5 linked regions of the Canis lupus familiaris genome follow. The protein of the gene in region 1 purifies or fractionates together with the protein of each later gene. This does not show direct contact. Links are inferred from orthologs where the notes say so. Each region holds a gene or a part of one and is shown in the gene's direction. Other genes may lie near its edges. The genes, in order: RPA3, TOP3A, RFWD3, SMARCAL1 and RFC1.

Region 1 (4,011 bases):
TGGGAGAATCCTGGGAGACTCCGTCTAGTACCTAAATTTGAATAGTGACAACCTGGAGGATTTAGGAAAATCCACACTCATTTTCCAAATGAAAAGTTGTTGGTTTCCCCCCATTTTTTAATGAGCGTTCATTCTAGAAAATTCCTGGCAAGGCGGTACCAATCCCAGCAAAAAAGTCCCCAAACCTACAAAACAAAAACAAAAACAAAAACATGAACCAGCGACAGATTCAAGAATCCCCCCTCCTCCCGAATGTCCCTGAAACAGGTGACCTTCCCGGCCTCCAAGTCCTGGGGCGCGAGGAGCAACGGGGGGAACATCACCGGGAAGTTAGGACGGGTCCGTGAACCACATGGGCAAAAACTTCGCAGGGATTTTGCAAAAACGATCTTGCTATCTAACCCCTTCGTTTTTTGATAGGGAAATCATATCTCAAGGAGGAGCTCACCGGTCCAGGACCTAACAATTCTTTAAATTCGTCTCCTCTCCCAGCTCGGTGATCCTCCCCCCGCCCCCCGCCCCCAACCACAACCCATTCCCAAAAGCTAGTTTGTTGCTAACTCGGAGGAGGTCTCACGTCCTTAGGGCGGCCAGGCTGTCAGGGCTAGAAAGGGTCGTAGAAATAATCAGGTGAGCCCTTCTGCCTAACAGGTGAGGGACAGAAGGGCAAGTGACGCAGCTTGAGCCGTGAAGTCACAGACCCTCTGCCGGTGAGCGGCAGGAGCCCGACAGAGGCAGTGACGGGTCACCGGCGACCCCGCCTGCCGTCCCCAGGAGGGGCCGGTGTCAAAACACGCCCGATCCCTCGACTGCAGCACGAACCCCGCGCTCCCCACGCAGACCCGGGAAGCGGGGAGGGAGGCGGGGAACCGCGAAGAGCCGGTGCGCAGCACCGAGAAGCCGCGGCAGGGCAGGACCCGAGTCCCGCCTCTCTCTTCCGCATCCGTCGACGGACGGGGAGCAAGGGAAACAGCGCGGTTGCGGCGCGTCCCGCGAGAAGAGCTACCTGAGGCTGCGCCGCAGTCCCCCGCCGCCACCGCACCGGAGCCCAACAGCCTGCTTCCGGGATCTCGCCGGGCGGCAGCCGCCGACCCGCCCCGTCCAAGCCCCGCCTCCGCGGCCCAGTCCGCGGAGGACCCGGGCAACTTCCGGGACGCCGCGCGTCGCTAGGCAGCCGATCCCCACTTCCGGAAGCGGCCCTCCCTGCCGGGGCCGCTCCGGGGGCTACGCGATCGCGATCGCAATTTCCGCGCCTTTGATTGGTGGAGGGAGAGTGCCGGCCCCCGCCGATTGGCGCCGGCGTCCTGCGCCCCCTGGTCGCCGCAGGGCGCGCCGCTTGGGTCGTCGGTTTCCTGCCGGCCGCGGGGCTCGCGCCGCAGCCATGGTGGACATCCTGGAGTTGCCCAAGTCGCGCATCAATGCCAGCATGCTAGCTCAGTTCATCGACAAGCCGGTCTGCTTCGTGGGGAGGCTGGAAAAGGTGCGCGCCGTCGCTGCCCTGGGCTCCCTGCTTTGCACCGGGGGGACGAGGGGGGCCCCGTGGCCGCCGGGGCGGCAGCCTGAGGGTGGCAAGGGAGGGTGCAGGAGGACGGGCCGTGGAGCATCGCTGCGCTCCTAGGTGCTTCGTTTGACGCAAGGGGACTTTTTGCGCTCTTTTTAGGCACTGCAGCCCCATTTTGGCGCCAGTTTTATGGCGCGGCGTCGTGACGTTTTCGAAAGCGCTGCGTTCTAATCCTAGCGCCCTCCACTCTGGCCCCTGTTTTGTAGATAACGAGAAGAAAACTAGAGACCTGACTCTCCGTGTCTTAGATAGCCAGACGTTTCAACTGCTCTGCTCGTCATGCAGTTCTGTCTTTCCTCAAACTTCGTTTTCTCGTTCAAGTCCCTTCGCCATGAACTTTCTTCGATCGTCCCTTCCAGACCCCACAGCAGTCTGTTTGCTTATGCCGGTGTTAGAGTGCAGCACCTTCACCCGACTGATGACCGGCAGGCCCAAAGCTTGGGAACCCGTGAACCGAGAAAGCTTGGGGGGGAGGGGGGGGCGGGGCGGGGGGGATCTAGGGTAAACTCTTAGCAGCTCATTCCAGCCTTGATCCTGAAATAGGTGTTGCTCGACCCCGCAGGTAGGGGAAACTGGGTAGGAGTAGTGTATGGTTAATTGCTTAAGGCCACAGCTTCAAACCAGATCTGACCGCACTCTTTACAACTATCTGTAGTAGAACCCAAGTCTTCTGACAACCAGTTCTCTTTACTTCATCATGCTTAATTTTTTTTTTTTTAAGTAATCTTTACCCTCAAGGTAGAGCTCAAACTCACCACCCTGACGTTAATACTGCCAGGCTCTAGGACCTAACCAAGCAGGAACCACCCCCACCCCACCCCCCGCAGGTGTAATTTTTAAAACACACCCTGTGGTGTAATACATACTGTTTAACTCATGAATACTGGAAGATCCCACCGTTAGGATGGATCCCCTTTAATTTGTTGTTAGCACAGGGTTGCCAGATTTATTTATTTATTTATTCATTCATTCATTCATTCATTCATGAGAGACACAAAGAAAGAGCCAGAGACACAGGCAGAAGGAGAAGCAGCTCCCTGTGAGAAGCCTGCTGGGGGACTCCATCCCAGGACCCTAGGATCAGGACCTGAGCCAAAGGCAGAGGCTCAACCACTGAGCCATCCAGGGGCCCCAGGTTTTGTTCAAAAACAGTTGATTTGTATGCATTGACTAAATATGTTTGGGACAATTTGCTTATCTTCTGTCAAACTTTTAATATTTTTATTTTAATGAGATTTTTAAAGTTTGTTTTGTTTATGTGGTTGGTTTTTTTTAATACTGTGTTTCTCTTTTAGATTCATCCCACTGGAAAAATGTTTATTCTTTCTGATGGAGAAGGAAAAAATGGAACCATTGAGTTGATGGAGCCCGTATGTTTAAGTATTAATTCTATGTATCTTGTAGTTTATTCTGTATCTTGTTGATATTTCTGATTCTTGGAGTAGATGGATAAAGGACCAGCTTATAAAACTTCTCTGCTCTAAAATTAAACTTAGCTCCTCTTCTTACATTTTATATCCCTTTACATTTCTAACCAGTAATTCTTTGGGCTCCATGATTTTTTAATACATCCCTTAACTGGGTGATAATTCCTATTCCTATGAAAGACCACAAAATCACATTAAAAGAATCTTTTGTGGGATCCCTGGGTGGCTCACTGGTTTGGCGCCTGCCTTCGGCCCAGGGCATGATCCTGGAGACCTGGGATCGAGTCCCACATTGGGCTCCCTGCATGGAGCCTGCTTCTCCCTCTGCCTGTGTCTCTGCCTCTCTCTCTCTGTGTGTCTCTCATGAATAAATAAATAAAATCTTTAAAAAAATCTTTTGTTTAAATCCTTTTATCCTTCCTCAAGAATTTTACATTTTTAAAATTGTATTTTTTATTTTTGTTTACATGTACCTTCAGTTATCACTTGTTCTAAGATTTTACATTTATTGTACTCAAAAATTTTTTCTTTTTTTTTTTATGAAGACAAATCCATGTGCTACTTGATTAACATATACAGAATACAGAGATAGAAAATAGAAGTTTCCTTTCAATGGGTTCTTTTAAACAAACTATTCCTTGTAGAAATGGTGGACATTCTCACTATCTTTAAGTGATTTTGTCTTCAACTAAACACTTAACTGGATCTTTGGACCTGAAGCTACTGCTAAAGGTAATAGGACTGGACATGCTGACATTAAGTATTCAAACATTTTTAACAACTTACGGTTCAGTTTTTGCATTGATAAATTTTAAGATGTTTTTGTCACATGAAATGAAAAATTAGTAAATTGTAACAATTTTCCCAGTTATCAACCAAAAATGTGACAACACCAAGTTGACAATTTGTTCTTTGTGTGTTAGCTTGATGAAGAAATCTCTGGAATCGTGGAAGTAGTTGGAAGAGTAACGGCCAAGGCAACCATTATGTGTGCATCATATGTCCAGTTTAAAGAAGATAACC
Region 2 (3,516 bases), on another chromosome or scaffold:
AACTCGAATTTTGTTATCATTCAGAATGTTACCATGGTAATGACTTCAGTTTCTGGACATTTGCTGGCTCACGATTTCCAGATGCAGTTTCGCAAATGGTCAGTACAGTTCCTAGGGGATATTACAGTAAGTTGTGAAATGCTAGAGGAATTTTGAGGCCTGTTGATCTTACCGTAGAGCTTAACAATACTGATGACTGTCTTGGTCCATTTGGGCTGCTCTAATAAAATGTCATCAAGTTGAGGGACACTTATAAACAACAGAAATTTATTTCTCGCAGTTCTGGATGCTAAAAGTAGGAGAGCAGGGTTGCCAGCACAGTCAAGTGAGGGGCCCTCTTCCCCATTGCACCCTGCTGACCTTTCACCGTGTCCTCATCTGGTAGAAGGAGCTAGGGAGCTCTGTGGGGCTTCTTTTATAAGAGCGCTAATCCCATTCATGAGGTACCACTACCTTTATGACATAATCACCTCTGAGAGTCCCCACCTTCCAACAGCATCACATTGGTGTTAGAATCTCAACCTATGTATTTTGAGGGAACAAAAACCATGGAGCCCACAGCAGTGACCTAAGATCAACTGAACCATTGTGAATTTTTGCCATACATTTAGAATAAACCACCTTGAAGTGTATTTCCCTTAAAATAGCCAGACCTATTTTACGTAGTCACTGGATTAACTGATCCTATTGCAGACATTAATGAAAGAGTTCCAGAATTACTATTTAGCTCCTCCAGTTGTCATAGAAAGCACTTAGTGCAGAGGATCATAGCCTTGCTTTTAATCCTCTGGCCTTTTAATGTGGGACCTTTTCTGTTTGGGTTCCATCCATGAGCACACTGGAGCAATTTTTTCTCATTAAAATAGAGGACTTGTCATCTCTGCTGAGGTTGGATGTGTTGTGTTTTCATTTCTTTTCTAGGCAGAGCTGCAATCCCCTTGTCCTCTTTGAAGCAGAAATTGAAAAGTACTGCCCAGAGAATTTTGTAGGCATCAAGGTAGGGTGTTTTGGAAGATGTGTGGCACTGGAGTTGAACAGTTCCTGAGTACAAAATAATTGAACTATGATTTCTGCATTCTGAATGCATTAGAATTTAGAGATCCAGTTTCCCACCAAACTTAGTACCATGATTTTATTTTTTAACATACTTTTTAAAGATTTTATTTATTTATTTGAGAGAGAGAGAAAAAGAGAATGTGAGTGGGGAAGGGGCAGAGGGACAGAGAGAATCCCTAGCAGACTCCCTACTGAGTGTGGAGCCTGGCTTGGGCTGAGATCACAACCCGAGCCGAAACCAGGAGTCAGACACTTAACCGACTGAGTCACCCAGACATCCCAGTAACATTTTAAAAATTACTCCCACTCATATAAATGAGGCCACTTAAACTAAGTAGCCAAGGAACTAAAGTAAGCCTTTTTATATATACTACTTGTTTAAATCCTAGGAATAGTATTGTTAAATTATTAATTCTAGGCTCCAGCCCTAATTAGCACAGAGAGATGACAAAGTGTAAAGGGTCATTTGACAGCAAGTTATGAGTTCTTAAGCAGTCAGGGCACGTATAATTAGTTCACTGCTAATTGGGAAACCTTCTTGGGGGTAAAACTCAATTTAGGGATTTCTTTTTCTTTTTCCTTTTCTCCCCCCCCCCTTTTTTTTTTTTACCAGGATACCATCAGAGCCATGAGAGTTACAAGTATATGTTAGAACTGAATTTTAGGTTTTGTCATACTAGGGTAGTTGTATTAAAGCCTCAATCTAGAAGCTCACTTATGGGTCTTTGATTCTAGGTCGAAGGATTATACTAGTGGCCTTGGCATCCTTAGAGGTTCCCCCAGATCTCTCCCTTCTCTCCAATTTGCCACATTCCAAGAACGTCCCTAAGGTTCAGTCAGATCTCTTTAGCGTAGAAGTGTCAAGTGATAGTGATTGTGTTCTCACTGCCCTTTCCCCACTGGGAATTTTAGAAAACTCTGCAGCGAGAGACTCAGCAATGCCAGGCCCTGGTGATCTGGACCGACTGTGACAGAGAAGGTGAAAATATCGGGTTTGAAATTATCCACGTATGCAGGGCTGGTAAGTGCTGTGACTTTTGAGTTTCTCCACTTTGGAACCACAGAGGTAGATGATTCCCCTGAGAGAGTGGGCTGTGGCTTAGTTTTTCCCTGGAGAGTCTCCCCTCTGGATCCATTCGTTCTTACCAGCTCTGTGTCTTTGGAGCCCCAGCTTTCAGGAAAGTCAGGCCAATCTGACAGTTGTTAGGGCTGCATCAGGACTAAATGAGTTAACCAGTGGCTCAGACCCTGTAGCCCATGGCTTGTTACATATTAGGTCCAAGTACATGGCCAGCTCCTTGAGAGCAAAGACTTTATGTATTTTATTCCTTTATTTATTTATTTTTTTAAAGATTTTATTTATTTATTCATAGGGATGCAGAGAGAGAGTGAGAGAGAGAGGCAGAGACACAGGCAGAGGGAGAAGCAGGCTCCATGCAGGGAGCCTGATGTGGGACTTGATCCAGGGTCTCCAGGATCACGCCCTGGGCTGCAGGCGGCACTAAACCACTGCGCCACCGAGGCTGCCCCTATTGTATTCCTTTAAAGTTACATTTTGAACACGTGCAAGAGAACATATATGCCGATTATACAGAACAAAGAATCATTCTGGAATGAGGTATTAATTTGCTGTATTCTTTGTACAAAGCCTGTTGTTGAAACCAATTTAAATGCCTCGAACAAGGCCAATGATTTCAGGTAACTTCAAGGAAGTGATGCACAGTCCATTCTCAGGCTTCAGATAGTGGATGGTTTCTATTTTCCCTAAATGTGTTTGTGCTGAAACTGTAATGACTCCTGGGAATTTAAGTATGTTAACTTTCAAGAAAGCGTAGGTGTCCCATGTTATTTCTTTGTCAGGATGTGAAATTCCTCCTTTGGACCTTTTCATTGACAATGTTTTAATTTTATCTAAAAGTCTGGGAGAGCAAGTGAGATATTAGGATCTTTTTTTTTTCTTTTTTTTTTTTTTTCTTTTTCTTTTTCTTTTTTTGAGATATTAGGATCTTGAGAGGCTCACCAAGAGAATAGCTGAAATTCACTTGAATTGCTAAAACTCACACTGCTGTTATTTCTGACAACACTAAGTTTAGCGGTAATAATGACGTTTTCCCATTAGGTGGTTACCATGCTGTCAGTTTAACCTAATCAGAAAATTGGGTGCAGCAATGTGGTTTGACTTTAACCTTGGTGACTGTTCCACAGTGAAGCCAAACCTGCAGGTGCTGAGAGCCCGTTTCTCTGAGATCACCCCCCGAGCTGTCCGGGTGGCCTGTGAAAACCTGACTGAGCCCGATCAGAGAGTGAGCGATGCCGTGGATGTGAGGCAGGAGTTGGACCTGAGGATTGGTGAGCAGCTGGCCAACTCCTTGTGGGGGTCCATGTAGCAGAGTGGATGTTGGGCTATGGCACCAAGATTTTTGTGTAAGTATGTGCAGGTAACTTTGATCTTACGATCCA
Region 3 (3,516 bases), on another chromosome or scaffold:
GCAGGGAGCCTGATGCGGGACTTGATCCCAGGATCTTGGATCACGCCCTGAGTCGAAGGCAGATGCTCAACCACTGAGCCATCCAGACGTCCCAAGAATGATCTTAAGCAGAAGTTCTAGAAGACTTAGATATAATTATATCATGGACATATAGCATGTTTTATCTATTTTACTGATACTTTTTATGAATGTTACTTCCCCAGTGATGGCTCACGAAGCAATGGAATATAACCTTCATGGGCAGTTAGACCATCATGTTGCAGAACAGCCTGTTCCTGCTGAAGTGGTCATCAGCCTAGAGGGACCACCCGTGTTCCAGGCTCTACCTGCAGAAGTGGTCATCAGCCAAGAGGGACCACCCGTGCTCCAGGCTCTACCTGCAGAAGTGGTCAGCAGCCAAGAGGGACCACCCCTGCCCCAGCCTGCTCCACACGTGTCTGTTGGCCTGACAGAGGAAGGGGAGCTGTTGGGAGAAGATCGTGTGGAGAGCATTAATCCAGGAGCTTCGGAGGAGCATAGTCAGCGATCTCGTGTTAACCCCCCTGTCCAAGTGTCTTCATTGGATTCGATGAACAGCTTCATCAGTGGGCTGCAGAGACTTCATGGCATGCTGGAATTCCTGAGACCTCCATCAGACCACAACGTGGGACCAGTGAGATCCAGAAGGATGAGAGGATCTTCACGCAGGTCAAGAACTACAGGGTCACAGAGGACAGACAGTACCAGGTAAAAATAATGTTAAAAATCTTGGGATTCGGGATCCCTGGGTGGCTCAGCGGTTTGGCGCCTGCCTTTGGCCCGGGGCGCGATCCTGGAGTCTCGGGATTGAGTCCCGTGTCGGGCTCCCAGCATGGAGCCTGCTTCTCCTTCCTCCTGTGTCTCTGCACACACCCCCCCCCCTCCACCCCAGGTGTCTTATCATAAGTAAATAAATAAATCTTTAAAAAAAAATCTTGGGATTCGTGCCAGATTGGGACTATGAGCCCAGTGCTGCCAAGGTGTGGCACTATGACTTTTGGCAAGTTATATGGCCTTTCTGAACTCCCAATTCCTCACAAGTCAGGTGAAAATAAAAGGTGCTTGCCTTATTTACTCACAAAGTCATTGAGGGATAATTTACCCTGATGTGCTTTGAAAACTAGGTGGTAGTTTATCAGCAACGGTTTCTATAGGGGCTGGCACTTCTTCAGATCATTTGCATATGAAAAAAGTATATTTTGACTTAAAAGTCCACACTCCAGTTACCCAGGTTCCATTGTTCATTGGCATTCCTTGTAACGATGCAGTAGACTTTGGTGCAGTAGACTTTGGAAGACCGGCAGGCTGGACTTAGAGAAGCCTTGTGAAAAGTAAAATGTGAATTAATTTAGGGCTTATCTGACTAAGTGGGGAAACATTCCAGCCCTCCTCATCTCAGAAGGTGTTGCAGAGTTGAAAATAATTTTCTTTCATAGTTTTTCATTTGAACTTTTCTCTGAAAGAACTTAGCTATATCAAGTCTTGACATGGTTATTTTTATAACCACCAGCTATGCCTTGCCTGTTTTTTAACTTCATCCTGCTTTATTTAAAATACTTTATTTCACATTTGGCCTCCTAAATGTTTTCATAACGTTTTAAGAGATTTAACACCATGTTCATTTTATATGCAAAGGAAATTGGACCCTGAGAAAGCCTTTTGTTCAGGGTCAAGGTCGAGTTGATAAGGGAACCTGGATCTGACTCATTTTCTGTGCAGGCAGATAGAGGACACTTCAGTCACATCCATTTGTTTTCTTAACATTATGAAAATAATGAGACAATACTAAAAAGCAGTAACTAGGCCATCTATTGACTATGTCTTGGAAATAAGAAAGCCAATAGAATAATTTGTGTTCTGACTAGGGTAGCTCTGGAATTGGGATTGTGCCTTCTGATCCTCGATTCAGCATCCTTTTCCATGGATTCTGCTGATTGCTGAATGGAGGAGGGAGATGGTGCTGCTTTCCCTCTGGATCTAGTCTCTAGCCTGGTCAGTTCTGGATGTGACCTCTCAGGGATGATGTGCTTAGTCATGTGTTGATAAGAGTTTCAAGGGCATGTAACTGTTATTTTAAGGCATCATTCCCTCTGATTATGAAGGCAGAATAAGATTTCATGTTTGTGTCCTAGGTCAAGGTACCCTGTAGCCGAGTTTGGGAACCCTTTCAAAGTGTGTGGGCTGAGGGTTGAGAGTGATGGCCCCAGGAACTGGCTGACTGCCAAGAGACCTCACCATATTCCTCAGCCTTGGTTGTTCATATACTCATCCATGGGGAGAGGGGAGTTGGGGCGGAGTTGATTACTTCTGTGGGAGACTTGGGAACCCACTCATAGGGGTGTAACACTTAAAAACCAGTTGCCAGTTTACAGAGAGAACTAGAAGTGCCACAGGGATCAAAGTCTCTTTCTGGCATGGGCAGCATGATTCTCCTAAAAGAAATTTCTGATTAGAGTCTAGTCTAGAAGCTAGACTCTAATCAGAAAATTGCTTGATGCATATAGAATCTGTGCTCAGGGACTGGTCTAGATTCTAAATCTAAATTACAGAATTTAGTTGTTAAAGGATATCAGTTGAGCTATTTGACTGACAGTTGTATTTGTCTCTACTAAAGGAATAAGCCTAAAGGGCTAGAGATTGTGTGGTTCAATGAAGAAAACATGGATTCTGGAGCCAGATAAATGTGGCCTTAAAACTTTTTTTCCCCTAAATACTGTGTTGTAAGCAAATTCCACACTAAATTCACAAAAAACAGGAGCTTTTCCTAGTACTGATTGCTTTTTTTTTTTTTTAAGATTTTATTTATTTATTCATGAGAGACACACACACACACACAGAGAGAGAGAGAGAGAGAGAGAGAGAGAGAGGCAGAGACACAGGCAGAGGGAGAAGCAGGCTCCATGCAGGGAGCCCGACACGGGACTCGATCCCAGGACTCCAGGATCATGCCCTGGGCCAAAGGCGGCGCTAAACCGCCCAGCCACCCAGTCATTCCACCTACTGAATTTCTTAACGTGAATTCTTCATTATGGTGTTTGGCACTTACTCACCTGACAGACCCTTTCTGGGTCAGGTGTTGAGAGCCTGAGCCAGGGGGAGCAGCTTTTGCCTCAGACTCCACTGAGAAGCCAAAGTTGGGGGAAGCTGAGTAATGAGATATTTTTCCAAACAGCTTCTCAGCCAAGATCACAAACACCTTTCCTGTTTCTTTGTTTGAGGCTGCTTGATTCTGGCTGTCAGCGTCACTCATTCATCAAAAATTTCTAATATTCCACTATGTGAGAGACTGAACTTTGCCTGGAGATATATTGTGAACAGGACAGATAAGGGTACCTGTTCTCATGGAGCTTATGGAATGTAGGACTACTGAGGGTAAGCAAGGGGCAAGAACTCATTATACTATTATTTAATTCAGAGATGATGAGTGCAGGCAAAGAGGAGGATCTCTTGTTGTGAAGGTTGCACTCCCAGAGAGAAAACCTAGCTCTGTCTCCTAAT
Region 4 (3,516 bases), on another chromosome or scaffold:
CTGTAGCTCTGTTCAGTGTCTTGACTGTGAAGGAGATAATGTGGAAACCCACAGTGATAACACTGTGTAGAACACACACATGCAAGTTTAAGTAACACTGAGGACATGGGCATGAGATCAGTACGTTGTATCAAAGTCAGCATCCTGGTTGTGATTTACTATAGTTTAACAAAATATTACCACTGGGAGAAAGTGGGCCAGATGTTCAAGGAATCTCTGTATTTTTGCTTCAACTAATGTGCATCTACAATCCCATCAACACAAAACTCAATGTGAAACAAAAAGACAAGAAGCTGTGAAAGCAGTGACAGACCCGTGATCTGAGTTAGAACAGCAGCGTGGCTCTGTCCTCGGAGCCGCGGCTGCCGAGCCCCAGGCACTGGTGCAGCCCACCTCGCTTCCCGTCCTTGTCCCTGCAGCACGTGCCACACATCCACATCGACGGCTCCACCTCCTCGGCGGACCGAGAGGACCTGTGCCAGCAGTTCCAGCTGTTCGAGAAGCACGCTGTGGCCGTGCTGTCCATCACCGCTGCCAACATGGGCCTCACCTTCACCTCGGCTGACCTGGTGGTGTTTGCTGAGCTCTTTTGGAATCCAGGGGTAAGGGACACAGGGGACTCGAATCTCCCGGGTGTGCGTGTGGCTATGGGGCAGAAGGAGCAAGAGCGTCAGTCTGGGCAGAGTAGGTATCTGGGTGCTCTCCCTAGCACCAGTTTTGTTTTCTTCCATCTGTTTCTGTTAGGCCTCAGAAACATGTTTTATACTTCCCAATTACCAGTCTTTTTTTTTTTTTTTTTCCCCAGTTACCAGTCTTAAAAGAAGTGAAGCCTTGCATATCTGTTGGCTAGTTATTAGATCTTCACAGCAGTCTCCTAAGTAGTAGGAGTATCGACTCCATGTTATGGAAGGAAATACTGAAGTTTTAGAAGGCTGGAAGGAATCTTAGGAGTCCTTCCTCTGAGGGGAAATTGGGGCACAGAGAGCTCACATGCACAGCTGTCCCCAAAGGGGAGCCTGTGGCTACAGCAACCCCAGCCCAGGCCTCTGGGCTTCCAGCCTGTGCCATCTATTAGCCATCATTGCAAGCTGCTTAGCCGATGCAGCCATGACAGGCGACCTTTCTGGGTGTTCCCTGAACGTGGTCTTTGTGTCCACTGGCCTCATCTGATGAGCAGAGAGCTGTGATAGCAGATATATGTCACTGGCCACACATAGGGCACGTAGACTTCTAGGCTGAAAGCATATGGGATGGAAACAATGCTCTTGGGCTTTGTTATCTATTGTAGGGCTTACCGCCGTATTAAAGAGCCACACTACCCCTAATCATATAGGGCCTCTCCCTTGGTTGTGATATGTTTGTTTATTTACAAGGTAATGGTTTCTTACATGGCAAGAAGAATGGAAATGTGCCAGGCTTCCTTCATTTGCCCTTCAGCATAGCCTGCTGGCAGGTCAGAGCTTGCTGTTCGTTCCTTGTGGCACCTAGGGCTCTGCCCAAAGCTGTCTGGCTATAGATTCTAGATTACCCCAGAACTTTAGTTTTGTTTGATTCTCTCTTATGTTAGGTGACAGCTTCCTTGAAGGTAGAGGTTCTCAGCCTGCTGACTTGGGTCATGGAGTGAAGTCCTTTCGGAAGAAGGGTGTGGTGGGCTCGGGGGCAGGGGACTGCCTGCTGTGGTGGACTGAGCCCCTTCAGGCCTTGGCCTGCACACATCCTGATCCCTGTACCTCACAGGTGCTGCTTCAGGCTGAGGACCGGGTGCACCGAATCGGACAGTCGAGCTCTGTGAGCATCCACTACCTCGTGGCGAAAGGCACAGCTGATGACTACCTCTGGTATGGCTGGCCACTGGGGTTAAGCAAGGGTTGACGCCTGTGATGTATTTCCTTCGCTCCCTAACTGCTTCTGCTCTTGCTGATGTCTTCAGGGACCCATGCAGAAGACCCAGGAGTAATGCCCTCCCACTTCCACCATGACCATGTCGGGCCTCCTTCACAGCATTCACTCATGACTTGCTGGGTGCATGAGGGATAAGGGGATGTGGCTCCTTTCCCAGTGTCCTGAGACAAGGGAGGGGGGAAGAAGTATATGTGCAGGTTTGCTTGTAAGACACTCCGTCCCAGCTATGAAGACTCTGCTGAGACATGGTCATACTGCCCTCTGCTCCTTCATGGCACGTATCGGTAAAATAAGGCCATCATACAGTGCTGCAGCTGACCACTGGGAGGAAGTGGCTCACCCTGGGCCACATGGGGCTTCCTTAGAACTAGGGTAAAATTTTTCAACCCTGGGGTTCATGTCTGTTACCTAAGCAAAAAGTCTCCAAATGCTCCTTCCTAGTCATACTTACCCCTTTCCTAATACTAAGTTTCTTGATTACCTCATTAGTTTCTACTACTCATTTCTGTTTCCAGCCTTGTGACTAAGGGATCTTACCTTTGTCACATGTGTAGGTTGTCCCTACTCCTACATCTTTGGATTTGTTGATTTGATCATTGGGCAGCTCATAACCACGGGGCCATTTTCAGCACCAGGTTCAGAATTTTGTTGTAATGAGACATCTATTTTCTCCACATCTTCCAGTAGAAAGAATTTTGAACCTAATGATGCAAACGCTAAATTGGTTTACAGAAGAGACAAATATTTTAGGTTGGGTGTTTGTACCTTGAGCGTTCCAAAGAAGTGAAACAGCATGCCTCAGTCCCATAAAAACAAGGAGGGTGATCTCTTTTTCATCCCACTGGTTCTGTGCAGTTTGTATTCATCGCAGCTCTTTTTTCCCCAACAGGCCCCTAATTCAAGAGAAGATTAAAGTTCTGGGTGAAGCCGGACTTTCTGAGACCAATTTTTCAGAAATGACAGAAGCTCCTAATTACTTCTACAAGGTAACACCAGCAAATGGCTCCTTGCCACTGGGGTGGGGGGAGCTATTGAGTTGTCTCCTCAGCCCTTGGGTCCTGAAAGAGAAGTGGATCACTCCTGGGGATTTCACTCAGCCTCATGCAGAATGGTGGCCTTCAGGTAGCTCCTCTGAAAACCAAGTGTCTTCTCCTTCTCATGGAACTGCCCAAAATCAGAGTCTGAGTAAAATCAGCAATATCTTTGAGTGACAGGAAGACTAGAGAGTCTGAGGATTTGATCTTTCATTTACATTGATGTAATAACTAAATGCTTCCTTTCAAATGTAATGATCGAGATAAGTCTTAGAGATCATATTTTTATTTTTTTTAATTCATATTTTAAGTAACCTCTACACCCAACATGGGGCTTAAACTCATGACCCCCAGATCAAGAGTTGGCATGCTCCTCTGGCTCAGCCAGAAACCACAAATATCATATTTTTAAATGTAGAGTATAAATTATCCTCATAAACAGTTAATAAGCTAACTTGAAACAACCTTATTTTTAAGCTTTTTAAAGAACTCTAATTCAATTGAATGGTAAATATTTTCACAGAGCCTTTGTTATTGTATGCCCTTTGAAAAGAAGGAGACTTAATTTTAAGGGATTCTT
Region 5 (3,516 bases), on another chromosome or scaffold:
GCTGTTAATAGTTTATGTTAAAGACAGTCATGTTCCTCTTAAAATCCTTTGTGCATCAAGTTTCTTGGGGTCAGTTGGTGCGGAGACCTAGTTAGCAAGATCTCTCTCAGGGCCATAACGTGTTTTGGACTTATCTGTTGTTTTCTCTGGGAGTAGCTTCCCCTACCAACAGATGAGAGACAGAGGGAAGGGGTGTGATGCCCTGGAATTAGGTGCCTAGGACAGTGTGGCTTCGTTTGCCAGAAACGACTCAGAAGCCAACAGCTGTGTAGGAAGCAGCTTGGTACTGAATTCAGATTGTGGACTGCAATTGATTTTTTTTTTTTTTTTAAGGCCATTTATGCCAGTGTTCTTCCTGGAGAGCTAATGAGGGGGTACATGACCCAGTTTCCTACTTTCCCAAGCTGGTTAGGGAAGCACTCATCTACCGGCAAACACGATCGTATTGTACAGGATCTAGCACTGCACATGAGTCTCAGGTAAGTGGTATTAGTTCATGTCTGGCATTTTATCAGTATAGCATATTTAGCTTTTATCCAGTGAGGATAGTGTAAATTAAAAGATTTGTGTTTTAGTTGTGATTTTATTGCTAACTAGATAAATGACCCTGGATAAGTTCCTTATATATTGTGGGCCTGAGTTTTATTATCTATAATAGGTATAATACTTGTTTTATCATTTAAAAGGATACTTTGAAGATGAGCACAGTTGGTAGATGTGCCATAATTTTAAGATAAATATTGAAGCTATGTAAATCTGAGGTAGTGCTACTATTTATTATTGTGACTACACCTATTACTTGTAGGGATACATAATGTCTCAGCTTCCAAATAATTTAATAGGAAGAAAGACTATTTAAATAAATGAACTAGTTTTTACCTATCCTAGTAATAAACTGAACTAGTCATTTATGATCGGGGACACAGTTTAGCATATAACAACAGGAGGCAGATGTGCAGATGATTGAAAAATCAGTGTTTAATGGAGAAGTTTAATGGAGTCCAAAAATTCTTGTTATTTGGTACAATTTTGTTAAAGTTGAAAAACCAAGAAGTTTGGAGAAGTTTAATGAAGTCCAAAAATTCTTGTTATTTGGTACAATTTTGTTAAAGTTGAAAAACTTAGAAAATGTGCACACACCCAAATATTCAGTGAACTTTAGGAATTTATTTTTAACCACAAAGAACTACTTGAGTAGTCTTCTTTTTTTTTCTGATCTCTGGAGGGAATATTCGTTAACATTGGTCCACTCTTAACTTCTGTTTGAAGCTGAACTGAAATGCTTCCTTTCTACTGTTCCTATAAAATTCTGACTATGTTCCCTCTTCCTAGCCTATAGCATGGCGCTTTTTTTTGCCACTCTTGTATTAGTTTCCTATTGTTGCTGTAACAAATTGCTAAGAATTTAATGGTTTAGGGGTACCTGTGTGGCTCAGGCAGTTAAGAGTCTGCCTTCAGCTTAGGTCATGATCCCGGGCTCCTGGGATGGAGCCCCACATTGGGCTGCCTGCTCAGCAGGGAGCCTGCTTCTCTTCTGTCTGCCACGCTCTCTTCTCTCTCTCTCTCTGTCAAATAAATAAAATCTTTAAAAAAAAAACCCTTAATGGTTTAAAATAACACACATTTATTGCTGTCTTAGGATGCAAAGAATCTCCTGGATTATCTGGGCGCACAGTGTAATTACAAGGATCTTTACCAAAAAGAAATAAAAGAGAGACAGCAGTATCTAGTCAGAGAGGGAAAGAGATTCTAAGATGTTACATTGTTGGCTTTGAAGATGGGAAAAGAGACCATGAGCCAAGGGATGTCTATGGCCTCTATAAACTGGAAGGGGTTGCTTTCCCCACTGCTCGTGGTCAAAGTGCAAGGCCTGGCTCTAAGCTCTTTTCTACTCCCTGCCCTCTGCTTTTAAAAAAGGTGATGCATCCCTGTGCCCTGGTGGTAGGTATTCATCTTTGATGCCCCCACCGTTTTCATAGATCATTGGCATTGGACTTCCATCTTGTTTTGTGGCTGTGCTTTTGTATGTCTGTCCCCTTTTCCTGTTAGACCGAACATATCTGGTGATAGGAACTGAGGCCTACTCATCCAGCACATTAAATTGCTCCATGAATGTTCCTTAATGAATCATATACAGGACATTATCATCATCAAAGGACATCTATAATGAATTCAGAATTTTTAGAATAAATTAGGACCTTCCTATTTAATTTTTAACCCTAAGTCCTTGAACTTTTATAGATCTCAGTTTATTTTTAAAAATGGAAGTACAAAATAGTACTTTTAGTATTAGTTCTAGTTAGGGTGATAGATGCCATTGAGAATCTGAAAGCTCTTTGATTTTTATTAATCCCAAAGGCAGTAAAGTACAAATAATGCTAGAGGAATTACAGATTTCTGAGGTTAAGAACCCTTGATTTAGGAACACTAGATGATACCTTTAGACTTTTCTAGAGGTATTTTCTGTGATTCTAAGTAGAAGGTAACAGTAATTAACAAAATATGAGAGAATACTTTTGAGAAAGGTTTCATGATTTTTGTAGGCACTGTGGCTTAGGGCTTGTCTTTAAGCACTAATAGTGCTTGGTTATGGAAGACTACTGAATCTAGAGGAAACGGGTGAATTTAAAATACGAGTTTTTGGATTCTTTGACAGGAGCAGGGTTCTAGATTTCTGATCAAGAGAACTCTTCATATTCAGTTACCTAAAGGCAATAGCAGGGCCCATTAATAATTTAAAAATGTTTATGGGCTCTGAAGCCCAGCAACTTTTGAGGTTTCTTGTTTCCTCATTTGATGATGGAAGCAGCTGGATTGGAAAGGTTTAGATTGGTGGCATTTTGTTCTAGTTTTGAGTGACCATATTTAAGAGTGAGTGAGAAAGTCATTTCATGATAGCATTGTTCTCAGCAGATGCGAGACTTTTTCCTGAAGCCTTCCTCTCACAAGTGTGGACCACCTTGTGATTCTGCAGGGACATTTTCGGCAGTTTTCTAAGTTTGGGGAAAGCCTTGCTCTAGAACTAAAGATTTCGGAGTAACCTCATATTAGGAAATATGAGGGAAACATTCATATATAATTTTGCGTGTTATAATCAGAGATCAAATGGTGTTACAAGCCCTCATGTAGGAAGTAGCACTGGTACTTGAGGTAGGAAATCTCACTGCCTTTTCCCGATGCTTGTAATATTTGGAACTGGGAATGAGTAATATTTGGTTATAATGAGTATGAGCACATAGAAGTCTTATTGTTGCCCAGGCCTTGAGAGTAGGTTGGAAGTAGAACCTACATTTGTGTTTTTCATTCACTGATGCAGATAAGTAGGAAATCCATTCCCTTTGAGCACACTGGTCTGTATCCATTATCCTGATGTTGTAGTGAGTGCTAGGCTTTCTCTACCAGCTGATTTATTTTTATTTTTATTTTTTTTCTACCAGCTGATTTAAATAGTAGACATTACACTGGGCATTATTTTTTTTTTTTTTTTTTTTTTTTTTTTTTACATTGGGCATTATT

What was found.
Region 2: the proteins of RPA3 (region 1) and TOP3A purify together in Homo sapiens (affinity purification with mass spectrometry; 3 studies listed by BioGRID and IntAct, with this or other methods). This does not show direct contact. The link is inferred for Canis lupus familiaris from reciprocal best matches to the Homo sapiens genes RPA3 and TOP3A.
Region 3: the proteins of RPA3 (region 1) and RFWD3 purify together in Homo sapiens (affinity purification with mass spectrometry; 5 studies listed by BioGRID and IntAct, with this or other methods). This does not show direct contact. The link is inferred for Canis lupus familiaris from reciprocal best matches to the Homo sapiens genes RPA3 and RFWD3.
Region 4: the proteins of RPA3 (region 1) and SMARCAL1 purify together in Homo sapiens (affinity purification with mass spectrometry; 3 studies listed by BioGRID and IntAct, with this or other methods). This does not show direct contact. The link is inferred for Canis lupus familiaris from reciprocal best matches to the Homo sapiens genes RPA3 and SMARCAL1.
Region 5: the proteins of RPA3 (region 1) and RFC1 purify together in Homo sapiens (affinity purification with mass spectrometry; 3 studies listed by BioGRID and IntAct, with this or other methods). This does not show direct contact. The link is inferred for Canis lupus familiaris from reciprocal best matches to the Homo sapiens genes RPA3 and RFC1.

Annotation. Positions count from the first base shown.
Region 1 is NC_049235.1:23,189,035-23,193,045, reverse strand, and holds the start of RPA3 (replication protein A 14 kDa subunit), read left to right. Parts: upstream 1-1,210; 5' UTR 1,211-1,381; coding exon 1,382-1,480; intron 1,481-2,856; coding exon 2,857-2,931; intron 2,932-3,911; coding exon 3,912-4,011. UniProt on the Homo sapiens protein: As part of the heterotrimeric replication protein A complex (RPA/RP-A), binds and stabilizes single-stranded DNA intermediates that form during DNA replication or upon DNA stress.
Region 2 is NC_049226.1:41,483,010-41,486,525, forward strand, and holds part of TOP3A (DNA topoisomerase 3-alpha), read left to right. Parts: intron 1-24; coding exon 25-98; intron 99-921; coding exon 922-997; intron 998-1,968; coding exon 1,969-2,077; intron 2,078-3,261; coding exon 3,262-3,405; intron 3,406-3,516. UniProt on the Homo sapiens protein: Releases the supercoiling and torsional tension of DNA introduced during the DNA replication and transcription by transiently cleaving and rejoining one strand of the DNA duplex.
Region 3 is NC_049226.1:76,538,554-76,542,069, forward strand, and holds part of RFWD3 (E3 ubiquitin-protein ligase RFWD3), read left to right. Parts: intron 1-203; coding exon 204-726; intron 727-3,516. UniProt on the Homo sapiens protein: E3 ubiquitin-protein ligase required for the repair of DNA interstrand cross-links (ICL) in response to DNA damage. Plays a key role in RPA-mediated DNA damage signaling and repair.
Region 4 is NC_049258.1:23,296,292-23,299,807, forward strand, and holds part of SMARCAL1 (SWI/SNF-related matrix-associated actin-dependent regulator of chromatin subfamily A-like protein 1), read left to right. Parts: intron 1-419; coding exon 420-602; intron 603-1,737; coding exon 1,738-1,838; intron 1,839-2,791; coding exon 2,792-2,888; intron 2,889-3,516. UniProt on the Homo sapiens protein: ATP-dependent annealing helicase that binds selectively to fork DNA relative to ssDNA or dsDNA and catalyzes the rewinding of the stably unwound DNA. Rewinds single-stranded DNA bubbles that are stably bound by replication protein A (RPA).
Region 5 is NC_049224.1:73,701,078-73,704,593, forward strand, and holds part of RFC1 (replication factor C subunit 1), read left to right. Parts: intron 1-333; coding exon 334-479; intron 480-3,516. UniProt on the Homo sapiens protein: Subunit of the replication factor C (RFC) complex which acts during elongation of primed DNA templates by DNA polymerases delta and epsilon, and is necessary for ATP-dependent loading of proliferating cell nuclear antigen (PCNA) onto primed DNA.